Caenorhabditis elegans: one gene and its partners. The protein of the gene in region 1 purifies or fractionates together with the protein of each later gene. This does not show direct contact. Each region holds a gene or a part of one and is shown in the gene's direction. Other genes may lie near its edges.

Region 1 (6,983 bases):
GGTGTGGCCACAGGGGGAAAACCTTCCTGTGCGTATGTATGTGTTATTATCATCGCCTATATCATCAAGCACACATACACATATAATACACACATACACGCTCAATTCATTGAAATGTAGCGAGAATGCGAAAACTAGTTCGATGTCGTTTCAAATTCGGATCAATCTGATATCAATTATTGTTTTCTACTTGATGCCGCCGGTAGGCTTTGACACTAACGAGATAAAGGAATGTCCCCCGGAATTTTAAAGACTTTTTTCTCTTTGACAAACAGATTGACAAGGTCGGAATGTGTGTTCAAAGTTGGAGAATGTAACATAAAAAGTGCGCAATTGAAGATAAGTTGAAATAGACAGTAAATTAGTGAGTTCGAATCTTACCAACTTGTACCTATTGCAGAAGCATGTAGATTGTTTTCGTTCAATTATCACCACTTCTTGAGTACTTAGGCTGTTTATGCCAAAGTTTTCTGTATATTTCAGTACATTCTCAGTACATAGCTAATCGATAGTTATCCAAATTTAGTATTCTATCAACTGAACTGAAAAATATTTACCAAAACATGCAGAATTAGCTTCAAAAAAGGGGACTAATGTAAAACTTTTAGACATTTTTTTGAAAAATTCCTCATAAATTGGGTTTTAAGGCCATTTTGAGTCTATCGAGGGGAACAATTTCTACTTTTTCAAAAAATAAAACTTAAAAAAGCCGCCAAAGTAGAGAAATGGGGGGGGGGGGGGGGGGAGGTGCATGTCTGAAAGGGAAAATATGGTAATACTTAATAAACAAAGTTTACATGATGCGTCGACAAAAATGTTTCTAGGGATAAAAAAGTCGAATATCTAAAACCAACTCTATGAATAGGTTATGTAAACATTCGACGATCGACGGTGCAGGCCTCTGCAACTTACGCCATCTTGGTTCGTGGCAAAGGTCAAATGTAGGATTGGTAGATTTAGCTAGGCTGTCTCACACGCACTCCCGTTTGTAGTCTCTTTCTCTCTCTTGTATCATCGCCGGCACCATCTAGCAACGGGACCACGTTTATGAGACAAGAGTGTGTGAGTAATGAGTGTTTTGGAGCATACTTTCAAAGATTACACACATTCCTTTGATAAAGTGGATGAAGGAAAGGAACGGATATATTCCGAAAATAAGTAACAGATTTTTAACCAATTAATCTTGTTAGGTTTGAAATATTATATTATTTTCAACTTTTATAACTTTGTCTTTCATTTGTTATCTATCAAAGTGGTAAAAAGAAAAAGGATGGCACAAAGGATATTTGGCAATTGAACAAAAACGGAAACACTAGGAGACATGCATTCGAAATTACGTTCCGAAAGGTCACAAGTTGACGTTTAATGAGAGTTCTAAAACCATAAAAAGAGGACAATCTTCTGATCGCAAAAACGGACTCTTTGCCCAGTTTTAAAATGGTTCCAAATAAGCAATTGAATTGAAAACAAACCAACAACAGTTTTAGATCAAAGTTCATGGGGATGAACTGAGGGGGAAAAGTGCACGGATTGAGTTAATGGACGATCGAGCGAATCTATCGGAAACCGGATTTGTTCGAGATGCTGGTAACTTTTCTATCATTTAAGTGGGGGCTTTTAAATGGATTGCATCGAATTGGGTGGGAAACTTTTGGGTATTAGTCAATAGTTTTTTATTGTAAGTTTTGCTGCAAAATACAACAGTAAAACTTGAAAGTCATTTCTATTTAGAAAAAAAAACAAATCGAAAAAAGTAACAGCTGTACAAATCGATAAGAACACATGCACTGTCTGGGCAAAGGGTGAGGGCGGGAAAACAATGTCCGCAGAGAACGCATTAATTATTCACAAATAGTTTAAAAGAAAAAAAAACGAATTCTTACTAGAAATTCAACACGTTTTTTGTATTGTTTAGAGAAAAACCAAAAGGAAACGGAAACCTCTCATCTGAAGTGGTATAGTGCACTCAAGTCCGCAAAAGTGTACATGCGGACCTGACACCACATTTGACGACACCTATGCTAATTGTTGTTGTTATATTCCATTTCCAGTTTGTTCCATGTTTCACATCATATTTCTATGAACACAGTTATTTCAGATGGATTTTTTCATGAAACTTGCCAAAAGTGACGTCGGCCAGATGGCGATGAACACAGTCCGACAAAACGTGGAGGATAAAATCAAAGAATACGCGGATGCTCAACATAAAGCAGCTGGTTCAACGTCTCAAGCCAGCAATCCACAGGCACAATCGATGGTGAGTTTTGAACATTTTGAGTTTATGAAAAATTGAAAAAAAAACTTGAGCATGCACTTTCTAAAAATAAATTTAAAAAATATTTTTTCTATAGTTTTTTATAAATTTTTGTTTAAAAAACTACCACACAACGATGAGGAAAACGATGTTTTTTTAATGTGTCAAAAATGTGCTCCCAGATTATGGTTTTTTAAATTATTAAAAACCTTTACCTATTTATTTGCACAATTTTCAGTGGCCGGGACCTGTGGATAAAACCTTGAAATTTTCTATCAACTCAAAGCTTTCTACGAACTTTTCACAAGCTACATATGGTGATGGATATGCACTTGTCTACACACCAAACAACTATGTAAGCTGAAATAACATTAAAAATACACGTAGAAACTTTCCAGGTTGTTTATTTCAATAAGAATGCATCTTACATTGACGATCTGGAATATTTGTGGAAAGAATTTGACGAATCCATCACACATCTGAACAATCCTATCAACGTCATTAATGATTTGGTACCGGTTATGCTGAGAGAAAAGGAATTACAATCCGAGTGCTCAGCAGTATATTTTGCGATTTTTTCTGGATTTTCAAATTATGTTAAGGAGGAGAAAAAGAAAGAAGGAGATGGGTAGGTTACTGTCAAATCAAGTTTTATTGAGTTAACAAAAACTGAACCGTTTCAGCTTCTCAATGTCAAAACTAAATAGAAGAGGTGATACTCCCGTTCATGTTGCCGCTCGATTTGCATCTCTTAGTTTACTTCAAATGGTCTGGGACAAATATTTCGATCCATTGACAATGAATCATAATGGTCAGACAATTTTGCAAGTTGCACGTCATCGTCCAGAAATTGTAAAGGTGAATATTTATTAAAATAAAAGATACGAGGTGGAAAAATGTGTCTTGGGGGGATTTTGCTGAAAATTACAAAACAAATGCCTTAATAGACATTAATAGGCGTTATATCAATAAATGAAAACTATAGAAATTGGTTAAGTCTGACGAAAAAAGCTTGCATATGGGTGGGACTCACTGAAAAATTAAAATCCGTACAGATGAAAACTGTGCTCCGGATCATTTTGCTGGATGATTTTTGCAGCTTCAATTTGTATACAAGTTTTTCCGATTCTATATTTTGAAAAAAAAAATGCTTCAATGTAAGAACAAATTTGGAAAACAATATATTTTTGCAGTACATCAACAGTCATGTTACCGGAGAAGTATGCGACAAAATGATCATAACCGCAGAAACTCATCCCAAGCCCGAAACTCCCGATTACCCGCGATCTTTTGAGAAAATTCTAGGTGAATACCAAAAATTACAACATTTTCTTTATCAACATATTCAGAATACTCAATCAAAAATAACTTGCCACATTGCTTATTGTCACCGGCAGATGTTCTCAACAAATCATCATTTTCACTGAGAGATCTTGAATCGTAAGTTGCCACATTGATTGTATCTATCTTATTAGTACCGTTTTTCAGAGTGCTGAGAATTCTCTACGTGCAAGACTCGGACTTTTTGGGGAGACTTTTGAACTCGAAGAATGTGTTTCACACATTTGACAATTTCGTGAAAGATGTTTGTTGAAATGACTATATTGTTTTTATTAATCAAATTTCCAGCACCAAAAGTTGATGCTCAGTTTTGCCAAAGCTGAAATGATAAACGCTCAAGATTTGAACGGACTCACACCAATGCATTATATAGGTAAACTGAACTACATTTAAATGGCAACTCGTAACTTTTTCAGCAAAAAATGGAAACCTAAGCACAATCATACTTCTTTGGTCGCACGGCGCGAATGTTAATATGCTTGATAACAAAGGAATGTCTCCAATGGATTATGCTCTTGAAAGAGATGACGTCGATATTGTAAAAGCATTTCTGGCGTTTGATGGACATTCCACCGACCGAATTTTGAAAGCTGCACTAAATTCCAGACGTAAATGTGCAGAAGTTCTGCAAAAACACTTCAAAGCACTTGAAGAAGGAAAAGAGAAAAATATTAAATACAATCTGGGTAACTTTGATATGTTTCTATTCGCTTTATAACATTCTGCGTCTTTCAGAAAACCCTTCTCATCGTCGTTGCCAAAACTTCCCGCCATTGACCAAGAAAGATTCAGTCATTTTGTCTATTGACGGAGGTGGTATGAAAGGAATTCTGGCTCTTCAGCTTTTGAAGGAGATCGAAAAGGTTGTTGGAAATAAATTCTTGCGCTGGTTCAATCATATCGGTGGAACATCAACTGGATCAATGATCACTCTTGGATTGGTCAAGTACGGAAATATTGACCATGTCATCAGACAATATTTCAGAATGAAAGTAGGAAAATGAACATTGAGAAAAGCGATTATGATATGGAAGATCAGGTGCTAGTTGCAATATCTTATTTTTTCAGGATGATATTTTCATTGGATCCAGACCATACTCTGGCGAAGGTCTGGAAAATGCTCTTCTAAATGAATTTGGAAGAGATACGCTCCAGCAACTCGGTGAGAAGAATGGTATTCGCATCAGTATCCCGGTTGCTCGAGTCGATATCAGCCCTCCGCTACTCTACATGTTCCGCAGTTATAACATCAGAGACCCGTCATTTGATCAAGCTGGCATGAAGCCTGTCTGGGCAGCTGCAAAAGTTGTTAGGGCTTCTTCGTGAGTCACAGCTGGACAGAAATGCACTTTTTGATTCGTATTTTTCAGAGCGGCGCCATCATTCTTCCCACCTGTTGATGGAAAGTTTATGGACGGAGGACTAATCGCTAATAATCCAGCTGTTGACATTCTTACTGATTGTCAACGCCTGGAATATGAGAGAAACGAGCGTAATGTGTCAAAGATCATGGTTTCAATTGGAACTGGGTCGATGCAAAAGAAAATTGAGAATGTTGACTTGATGAAGCCAACAACAATGGGTGGAATTGTGAACACGTTCAACCAGATTCTTCACTTAAAAGACGTCTTTATTGAGCAGGTGAGTTGCAAGCAATTCTTTTCAGATAAAAATGGCCAATAAAGTTTGAAGTTTTGCGCAGATCAATAAGTCTGTCAATGTAATTCAATCAAAGTTGTCAAAAAGTTTGTGTGCTCACTATTAGGCAACTCAATAGCAGAAAAGCCCAACTACGTTAATTTTAATCACCGGTGCCTTTCATAATTAGCAACGAACGTGAATGTTTCTTGAAAACATCTCAATTTATTCTCATATTGAAAACGCATCCTGAAAAGAGTTTTGACTTATTAGTTTGAACCAAAAATGGTTGTTTCAAATTCTAGTTTGAAGTGTGATTTCGGTGCTAAAATAGTTACATGGACTAATTTGACAAGTTTTCTTCGTAAATCTAAAGCTTCGTTCAAAACATGAGTGTATATGACTTACACTCGATAAACCGGAACTGTTATTTCTTAATTTTTTGTTAATTTTGTTTTCTATTTCCAATATTTTTTCTTTCTAGAATGGATTAACAACCTTTTCGGGGAAAACATCTAATTATATTGTCACCTTTCATTTTTCCACACTTTCAGCTCACAGCAGCTGATGGAGTAACCGTCGAACGGGCTCGTTGGATGGCTGAAGCCATGGGAATGGCTTTCTTCCGTTTCACTCCAAACCTTGAATTCCCAGTTGCTATTGACGAGAAGGATGATAGTGCGTTGCTGGATGCAATGCTCGCTGTCAAGGTAACCTAATGGATGACAATTTGATTCATTATGTATTGACTTTTTGCAGTATGAAGCTGTCGCAATGCGAAATGAGATGTACATGCTTTCTTCGATTCTCAAATAATTTGAGCCCTCTCGCAGATATTCAATAATCTATTAGTTTTGCTTTTCTCATATGTGAGAATACACATAAGTTCATAATTTTGTATACATTCTAAGTCTCAGTTGTGAAAAATCATTCCGTCATAATACATAGAAGTCTATTTGAACCGAGTAAATATTTTTTCAAGCTTTGTCGTATTTCCATTTTTGTTTATCTTCTCTGTCTTTTACTAGAGGTAAAAATCCATCAAGAAGTATTTTCGTTCAGTGCCACTCAGCTTTTTTTTATAATAATGTTTTTCTCTCAACCAAAGAATCAGTGAAGAGAATTTGCTCCTTTGATCTTATACAAAGAAAAAATAGCATCTGTCATATACATACGTATCTAGTCTGCACTTTTTTTCGTTCAATAAAACCAACTTTGCCGTTTTCCTTATTGTTGCCCAGACTACCAAGTACATGTGCGCAGCAGCGGCAGCCACACTTTTCCGATTAGTAGGTTTAATTTGATCAGTCTGATTTTTTGAATCAGAATGATAAAACGAAATTACTTTATCAGAATATCAATAAAGAATGTGTAAACTTCCGTTTTACAACTTACTATCACACGTATCATAGCTCCACAGCCACTCCACTTGTGACTTTCGGACGAATAATGTTTTCATTTTTCAAACATTTGAAGTTGTATTCTTTTGGTCTCTGATTTCTTGACTGTATGGCAACGATTCCCACCACCACCTCCCATTCTTTGATTGTTATCTGCGGTCTCTCGTTCTCTCTCTCTCTCTCTGTCGAGTACATTGCGTTTTTCACAAACCGCATGAGGTAACAAATTGGGCAAAGGGCAGGTACTTACACCAATATGGTCGTGAGCCGATCTCTGAGTTTCTTATGCTCCTTTTGTAACCACCATCCATCTGAATGGCGTTTGTGTAAACTTATATGAAGTGAACCGT
Region 2 (4,256 bases), on another chromosome or scaffold:
CTCAGAGCCATATCTCAAGGTCTAATTATGCCTTGTTATTTCAAACGTGTTGTTCTTCGATTTAAAGTTTGAATCTTAACTAGCCAATTCTCAGGTTCATGAGTCACTTGTCCAGACAAACCGTTGTTTTTCTTTTTTTTTCCCGAAGGGCTATCACGAGAACCTATGTTCAAAAATTCAGCTGTGGCTCATAAAAAAATTTGAATTCCGTTTCAGTACAAGAGCTTCAGCTTCTCATTTTTTCAATCAATTGTTAATTGCTCAAAAATTTTCGCAATGGAAGATGAAATGGATATTACCAATCAAACATTATATGCCCTGTTGCCGGTTTGTTCAAGTTATTTGCCAAAATTTACCACATTTCCAAAAAAGCTAAAACAAAGATTTTCAGATCTCATTTCTCGGTTCAATTCTGAATTGGACAATTTTCTACGCGATTCAACGATTGGAATGTTTCAATCACTCTTTTGGATTTCTCTCTGCAAATCAAGCTCTCGTAGATGGTCTTCACTCAACCACTTTCTTATTGTACTTTTGTCCAATGGTCCTTTTGTAAGTTTTAAAAGTTCTTCTTAAAACTATAGACAAAGTTTGTTTCAGGGACAATGCTATAATGAAAGAAATGTCCCATCACTGCGGATTCGTGCTTCTTCTTTGCTATGAGCTCTCCGTAATGATTCACCTAGCAATATCACTCAACAGATTCTGCGCGGTCTGGATTCCTTATCAATATCATAATATTTTCAATGAGAAAAACTCAAAAATTTTAATAATTTTAATTTGGTTATTTACTGGGTCAGTGGCCATATACCTTTATGAAAGTGAGTACTTTTTTTTTCAATTTGATGCTTTATTATGTAATTTTCTGTGTTATAGTTTTATGCCATATCTACTACGAAGACAAGTCGGATTTTCTCACATTCACCGATTCTAAGCTGTGTGCAAACATTGGCTGGTATGGAGATTTTGTCAAAAACGCGTGTATTGTTGCAGTAATAATGCTCATTGATATATTAACAGTTATTAAAGTCAGACGAATGTCTAGAAAGGTATGACAACAATTATTTTATTTCAAAAAAGCAAAATATTTAGATCTCCGTAAATATAACTGAACAGGCGCAAAACAAATTGTCCTCTAGAGAAATGCGATTTCTCAAGCAGACAGTGACACAAGGCTCCGTGTTCTTGCTTGAGCTTCTCACCTACTTTTTTATTCCCCAATATTTTTCCAACAAGTGGATCGTGTTTTTTGGCACGTCATTTGCCTGGGTAGCTGTGCACGCAGTGGATGGGTATTTTTTTAGAAACATTTTAAATTCTTTTTGTGCTGATTTTTAGATTGGTGGTTGTAATATTTAATCCAGAAGTTCGGAAGTTCCTGTTGTGCAAAGAAACGAAAAAACGAGTATCGTCGATGAATCGGATCAGTAGCTGAACACCATCTAAAAGTTCCAGTTTTTTTTTGAATAAAACTTTTCTCTGATGTCCCACGAATTGTTACAATTTTTGTATTCCGTAAATTATCATTCATTTATGTTTCTAATTGTAAGGGTACGTTGTCTATTTGTTATTAATATCTGAAAATAAATCAAGATATAACTTTTCAATATCAAGTAGTGGGGTACAATACTAATAGAGAATCTGACCTGAACCCTATGTCTGCCATATATTTTTTTAAAGCTTTTTTTGAATGAAAAGATTAGACACAAATTATTTTAATTTCTCCAACTTTATCCTGGTTATTCTGTTTTTGATTTTTAGTCGATTTTGGACTCACGAGATGTCGAATGCTTTTTATAGGAATAACTAACAAATTAACGCTGTAAGCTATAACAAGTTGTAAGTTAACGGGACTCATTTCGGTACTTGTATAGGACACATTAAACTTTAATTTTACGTTTTCAAAAATGAAAACGTGTGGAGCCTAAGCTTCATGTCATACTATTCCTCTTTTCATCCCAAATCAAAACTTCAAATCTCCCTTACTACTACATGGATAACCATCTACACCATTTTGCCACAGTTTTTTTCGTCTACAACCGCTTCTTTATGTCTGTTGGAATTTACTGTCAAAAATGTATCGAATGCGATTTCGACTTCTTATTTTCTCAGCGTCTGTAACTATAGTATTTCTTTATTTGATAAGCTCAATTTTCAGTGTCTTACAAAACACTACAGTTTATTCATGTGTAGGTTATTCTAAAATTAAGAACTTATTCAAAAATTTCCAAATCGGAAATTTCAGCAAATCCCGTTGGAAGGAAAAGATCCGATGATATATGGATATCTTTGTGCAGTTGATAAATGTGTTTATGATCTATTTGAGGAGACGAACAAAGACAAATTTGAAACAATGTGGAGAAAATTGCCAGAATCTTTAAATTGGTGCTCGACGAATGCTCAGATGAGCGTGATAAGATTCACGTTGAGAAGTGAAATGACAATGTTCAAAGTGAAAAATATGATAGAAGTAATTTTTAAAATTTATAAAATTTATGTAAAATTAATTCTCTATTAATACATATTATAAATTTTCAGAAGAGTAAAGCAAAATTCACAGAGACATGTACCGCCGTTGTCGTTTCATTTGACGGTGACTCTTCCCTCCGAGATCTGGATCTTGATGTGAGTTTTATAGAATTACAAATGAAAATGATTATCAACTGAAATATTCCAGAAAATTCTAAAATCCTGCACAATTCATCACTTGAAATTTTCGTCTTTGAAAGCTGAAGGTTTGGCAAACTCGCTGAAACGTATCAGCTCGGTGATCGATGTTTTGATAGTGGGACCTTCCAAAGGATCTTCTCACCTTTTGTTTCAACAGTTTTTGGGAGACTATTACGATTTTCTTCCTCCAGTTTGTCAGGTAATTTTGAATACTTTGGTACGGTGAGAATTTAAAAATCAAGAAAATAGATCAATATACCAACTATCAAAGTTTTCCGAACTTGGTAAATCGCCGCCAACAACTCTTGCCACTTTCTAACTGCCATTTACAAAAATTGGACATATAGTTGGTTGAATTGGGCAGCGTTTTCATGCTCTGAACAACTGGAATAGTTGGTAAAAGTTGGTGAAAGTTGGTTAAGAAGCGGGTAAAGTCTAAAAAAAATTTTTTTCGATTTTTTTTAAATTTTAAAAATCCAGTTTTATGGCTGATAGAAGTTTTTAATCAATATAAAAATCAACAAATTCAGTTTCAAAATAAATATAACTTGACTGAACACTGACTGAACAGAAAATTAACCGCTAAAAAATTAGAATGTTCAAGGTCAGACTGATGACATTCCATATTGCATGACCATTCTAAATACGTGATGAACTATACAATGGATGATCAATTTCTCAATTTTCAGGTGAACTTTGCGCATACCTTACCCCGCTCTCGTGAAGAAAACGGATTTGTCGAGTCAATGCAACGTCTGAGAATGGAGAAAAAGTTCATGCTCATGGGAGCAAGTAAAGACCGAACAGATATGCATTTGAACTTATTTTTCGAAAATATGGATCAAAAGTATTGCAGAGAACGATACTTTCGGTATCTTTCGTATTTCTAAATTTTTGAATGAAACGCTTTACACTGACCCTTTAGTTTCCGTGTCCAAGACAGAAAATTTGGGCAGATGACGGAAATGATGAGAAGTTGGAATTTGAAAAAAAGGGGGTAAGGCAAATAAACTGGTTTGCTATTTCCACGATTTATGATCAGAAAATACGGAAAAAAAATGAAAAAGTAAACATAGGGCATGTGATATATGTAGACTTATATGTCTTTTTAATGATGCCCATAAATTGGCAGGACATATTGTTGATGACTAGAACTTGATGGAAATGACGTGCCTGGAAGTTATATTGTTATTTTCTTGAAATCAGGACAAATGAATTAAAAATTGAATCGGGAAAGTTTTATGAGTAAAAGCTGTGTAGTTTTCTAAAAAAATTGCCGATTAGCCGTTTGCCGGAAATCAATTTGCCGGCAGTTTTAGAGGGATTTTTTTATAATACGGAAACTGTGCCTTTTTGAAATTTGTTTTTCGTTTTTTCTAGATATTTTCATAGAATTTGTGTGCTTTTCAAAACAGATGTAGGATCATTTATAGGATACGTATAATTTTTAAAATTTAAATTCTGAAATTTCCAAGAAAAAAGTGCAAAACCACAATTTGCCGGCTATTTTTTCGGCAATTGCTGTTTTTTCGAAATCTTGGGCAAATCGGAATTCCGATTTGCCGGAATTTTTCAATTTCCGCAAT
Region 3 (4,704 bases), on another chromosome or scaffold:
AAGGACGATAATTCGGAGGGATTGTGGCGGACATCTCACGGGTCCCAAAATTTTATATTTGGAGTGGCGGACGTCTGAGTGGAAACCCATTTGCAACTGTAAAATCAATGAAGGATATCTAATTATTTAATTTCCAATTTCTCCTCGAGAAAGCGAGAGTCATAAATAAAAATGCTTATAATATATATCTGGGGGTGGAAGTGATCATTTGTTGAAAATCGAACGTCGGGTGAAGAAGAGATAGGTTCACACACACACACCCAGGAGGCAACAACGAGGCGAACGATAAAGCCACCGGAGACGCAGACGGTCTTCGGATCTGGTTCGGCGTGTTGAGAGGGGGCATCAGCCGGTTCCTCTGAGGAGGGGGAAGAGGGGAGACGAAGAAGAAGATACCCCCGTCCGGTGAAGCTTATTATCCGACAGGCAGACGATTGTTGCTTTGACTTCTTCTTCATTGCCCACTTTTGAACACTTTTCAACAGGTCTCTCAAGATTTTTGGCAACTTTTTTTGCGACTTTATAGGGAGATTATCGGCTGGAGATTATGCAACATTCATAACTTTTAGTAGATCAATGATTATTGTGTAGAATTGGCTTCTTTTTCCTTGCTTAAAAAAAAATTAAAAATCCCCGAACAATTTCCAGCATTTTTTCATTTGAAAACTTCTTTCTAGACCTTACTGTTCCTGAGATACAAGCCTTTTTAGTCCAATGGGCTAGAGAGTGTGGAGAGGAGAGAGACGCAGGGCGCCTCGTCGTCGGCGTCTCCCCTCCCTTCACACTCTCTAGCTTTGCTCTCGCTAAACTGTGTGTAACTTTTTAACTGTAAAAGATACAAAAAAGTGGCAAGAGGCAAAAATGATCAGCATAAAATTTTCTATAAGCTGAAATCAAAATCTTTGGAAAATTCCAAAAAAAAAACTACTACAGCTGTCAGTTTTCAGCCTTAATTTATTACAGTGTACCTACTACAACTACATTTCCCTTGAATTTCCTCCAAAACTTTACAAAACGTTACAAAACCAAGCGAGTTTGTTTCTTAAGCATTTGCATAAGTGGTTTACAGTCCTCAGAAACATAGACACTTTGTTTATTCTCCCCTCCCCCCCCCCCATTCAAAATGAAAGCTTCTAGAATTTTCTCGTAGTTTACTTGGTAATGTATGCATGTGTAAACTGTAACTGTATATAATTGTATATATATAGAGACGTCTGAAACTCACAAAAACCACTTGAATAGCATTCTTGTGTGACTTGTGGCTTTTGGTGAATCTCGGCGAGAGTCACACACTTTTTATTCATTCACTATTTCCGTAAGGCTGACATGCCTAAGTGCCTGCCTACCGCCTATTTTTTGATATTTTCTCCGTATAAATTATTTTTAATTGTATTGAATTTCAAAATCAACAATTTCAAGCATTTTAAGATTTTCAAAACTGTCGAAGTCTAACTTTTCGAAAATTTCCAAAATATTGGAAAAAAATTATTTTTGGCAATAGGTAGTTTGTAGTTTGTAGTTTGTAGCTTGTAGTTTGTAGTCCGTAGTTTTAGCAGGTAGTTTGAAAGTATGCAGCTTTTTTTTGTTTAAAGTTTTGTATTCGTATACTTAAATACTTGTTAGAAATGTTCAATAGAAATTGTTCAAAAATATACATAGTTTGTGGTCATTGTAGTTTGTAGTTTGTAGTTTGAAGTTTTAATTTTTATTTACCTGTTTTCGGTCAAATATTCTTTTAACAATTTCCAGTTTTCTCAGTTTTCTAAAGAAACTGTTATAAAAAATCCTAAGCCGCTCTTCAAAATTTTTGTTTTTTTTTGCCGTTTTTGTGGAATCATACCTCTAAAATTTCAAATTTCATTACAGAATGCATCCCAAACTGGACCCTATCCTAATTCTCTTCCCATTCTTCTTCATCTCCTCCATAGTCGCACAATTCACATCGCAAACCTACCCAGATCCTCGATTAGATCCATTTTCATGTCGGTTGGCACTTCCATCGCAAGTCTGTGATCCGTCGGCTATCGTTTCCGATGAGGAGAGAAGTCGATTGGTGCAGAGGGTTAATCAATTGCATTCGTTGACTTCTGGAATTAAGAATACTTCTCCGTCATGTGCATTGATGCCTGATAGGAATTTGGAGGTGAGTTACTGAGTTGGACAATGTTGAAGTTGGTAGAAATGCGCCAGAAAGTCAACAGTTTCCGAAAATTTTTAATCCGGTTTAAGCCTAGACCTAGGCTTAGGCTTAGGCTTAGGCTTAACCGTAGACTTAGGTTTAGGCTCCGGCTTAGGTTCAGGCTTAGCCTTAGGCCTAGGCTTAGGCTTAGGCTTAGGCCGGGCAGAGCAGAAAAAGATTTAAAAAACGAAAAATGAAACAGTCCAAAGCCTGGCCAAATTTTTTTTTCGAACTTGCGTCAGAAAGATTCCAACCTTTGGCAGAAGCTTGCCAAGCTAAATCACTTATTTTTCAGATAATTGTCGCGATAATCGACAAAATCGGAAGTGTACCAGGTGTTCCAGTTGACATTGAAAAATTCGCCAATAACTTGAAAAGAAGATACCAAAACTTCCAGGTATGTCTTCTGAAACTGCTTTTAATTCTTAAATGTTCCTGTATATAATTTCAAATTTCAGGACGTTGGAATGTGCGACACTACAGTGCTCATCGTGAATTCTAGACAAGATCGTCAAGTGTTCACAGTTGCTGGTAGAGATGCCAAGATCTCGAAGGACACGTTGAAATCTGCATTTGAACGGAATATTGGGCATTTCAAGACAGGAAGATATGCACTTGGGCTGGAAGGAATGATTGAGGTCATTGTGGCAGCTTACTCGAATGCTCATATTGTGCAGGTCCCGACTCCAACTGAGTTTAGACCGACTGAGTGAGTTTTGGGGTTTTTTTGATTAGCGGCCCGCCAGGTGTCGGTTGCTATCTTTAGGAACCAGTCGACACATGAAAAACTGAGAAAGCCGCGGACATCTCACGGGCTTGAAAATAGTCTGAAACTGGCTTTTAGTAGACCTTGTAACAAAGGTGCAGCCGACATTCGGCAGGCTACTAAAAACACAGCTGATAGATTATGGGGTGCTCAGATAATTGCTGCAGCCGACAGCTCACGGGAATTAGTCGAAGCTGCAGCCAACACTTTCCTGGTCCTCTTTTTCAAAACTTACGATCAAACTTCCAGATTCATGCCAAACCCACCTGCGGTCTCTGCTGTTGAATCCCAACCATTCCGGGCCGCTGGTCTCCCGAACAGTGTGCAACAGGCAAAACGCCCATTCCCAGCTTTCAACACGATTCATGAGAGCATTGATGAAGATGATAAGGTAAATTTTGACAGAAGATTTCTATTTTTAGCCTAATTTTTTGAATATATTTAGGTCTGGGTATCAATCCTTCAGCAGGCCATGGCCCGATGTGGACAGAACGATGCAGATCTTCCAAAACATGTCAGAGCAGTTGTTGAAGGTTCGTTCAAGCTTTTTTAATAAAATTTTATATTAAAATTTTATATTTAGAAGCCATGAGTATCTCCTTGAAGCTGATTTCCGACTCACGTTACAACAAGATCGAGGAGGAGACCGAGAAGAACAAGGAAGTACTTGGAAACCGACAAAAGTGAGTTTTTTTCCAGACCCGTTAGGTGTCGGCCGCTGAACAGCCTAGCAAAAATACGAATTATTTTCAGAGCCTGGGACGGAGCCACCAACGACTTCATCCGCCCACTCTTCCAGAAGTACCGCAACTCGATCCTTTCCGGAGCATCACAAACCTGCCCGGTTAGCGCCGCGGGCACCAGAAAACGAAGACATTTCTAAATTTTGTATATTTTCTCTAACAATTTTCCACGACGGGTCACACATATCCTCTTAATTCCATTTTCAATTTTTCGATGAAAAAAAATCAATAAAAAATCCACGTCATTCCACGTTTTTGTTGTTATTTACACTTGCTCACAAAACAAAAACAACACTTTTTTCAATCATCGTTTAATTTCGTTTCCCATCTCGTCATGCTACGTCTCGAAGAGGTAAGTTAATTTTCAGTCGGTATTTGTTGGCTGCTTGAGTCATGCTTAGTCCCACGAGTTGTCGGCTGCTATTTTTGGGAAATTCTCAATTTCATAATACAAATCTTTTTTCACATTAAAATTGTTTTTTTTCTTTGCTAAAAATAATTCGGGTCCATAATGTCCCATAAAGTGTCGGCTGCTCGAGTCGGTTGCAAGTTTTAGGCGGTCTCAAGATGATTTCAGTTTAAATTTTAAACTCGCGAGGTGTCGGCTGCCAAACTAATCGGGGCTTTGCCAAAACTTATAGCATCTTCTTTGGAACCCATCAGATGTCTGGTTTTAAAAATCAATAATTTCCAGGACGAACCTTCCCCCGGAATCTGTGACCAGCTCCATGAGATCGTCCGCTCCATTGGCCTTCTATGCTACGTCGCATGCCCACCCATCCCATCGGAAATCATCCGGAAATTGGCATTCCACCCGCCAGACAAAGGAGCCACCTATCGGATCGAGCTGAAATCTGATCCGGAGAAGGATCTGGAAAGTGTTCGTGATTGTCATGACGAGCCTGTTCAGCTGGTGGTTAGGGATCGTGTGCATCCTGAGGTGAAAGTGTTCTCGGTTACAACATCTGAAGACAGTCATCTTGTGTGTGTTAAGTGCTCCCCGAATTGCTATTCCA

The links.
Region 2: the proteins of C45B2.6 (region 1) and K09D9.9 fractionate together in Caenorhabditis elegans (co-fractionation; one large-scale study listed by BioGRID). This does not show direct contact.
Region 3: the proteins of C45B2.6 (region 1) and F01D5.6 fractionate together in Caenorhabditis elegans (co-fractionation; one large-scale study listed by BioGRID). This does not show direct contact.

What each region holds. Positions count from the first base shown.
Region 1 is NC_003284.9:6,050,960-6,057,942, forward strand, and holds C45B2.6 (phospholipase A2), read left to right. Parts: upstream 1-2,098; 5' UTR 2,099-2,140; coding exon 2,141-2,257; intron 2,258-2,492; coding exon 2,493-2,609; intron 2,610-2,652; coding exon 2,653-2,882; intron 2,883-2,937; coding exon 2,938-3,112; intron 3,113-3,447; coding exon 3,448-3,559; intron 3,560-3,603; coding exon 3,604-3,694; intron 3,695-3,742; coding exon 3,743-3,839; intron 3,840-3,883; coding exon 3,884-3,968; intron 3,969-4,011; coding exon 4,012-4,281; intron 4,282-4,330; coding exon 4,331-4,587; intron 4,588-4,663; coding exon 4,664-4,917; intron 4,918-4,965; coding exon 4,966-5,236; intron 5,237-5,787; coding exon 5,788-5,943; intron 5,944-5,992; coding exon 5,993-6,049; 3' UTR 6,050-6,214; downstream 6,215-6,983.
Region 2 is NC_003283.11:3,991,959-3,996,214, reverse strand, and holds K09D9.9 (Usp domain-containing protein), read left to right. Parts: upstream 1-2,066; 5' UTR 2,067-2,075; coding exon 2,076-2,189; intron 2,190-2,245; coding exon 2,246-2,470; intron 2,471-2,538; coding exon 2,539-2,625; intron 2,626-2,677; coding exon 2,678-2,869; intron 2,870-3,359; coding exon 3,360-3,560; 3' UTR 3,561-3,587; downstream 3,588-4,256. Other genes in the region: srx-62 (G-protein coupled receptors family 1 profile domain-containing protein), read left to right, coding at 277-327, 392-552, 601-821, 877-1,049, 1,093-1,292, 1,339-1,435.
Region 3 is NC_003280.10:14,004,644-14,009,347, forward strand, and holds F01D5.6 (TPM domain-containing protein), read left to right. Parts: upstream 1-1,866; 5' UTR 1,867-1,867; coding exon 1,868-2,143; intron 2,144-2,474; coding exon 2,475-2,576; intron 2,577-2,637; coding exon 2,638-2,888; intron 2,889-3,086; exon of another isoform or gene 3,087-3,192; intron 3,193-3,194; coding exon 3,195-3,336; intron 3,337-3,390; coding exon 3,391-3,478; intron 3,479-3,528; coding exon 3,529-3,628; intron 3,629-3,698; coding exon 3,699-3,828; 3' UTR 3,829-3,945; downstream 3,946-4,704. Other genes in the region: F01D5.7 (Serine aminopeptidase S33 domain-containing protein), read left to right, coding at 4,023-4,040, 4,383-4,704.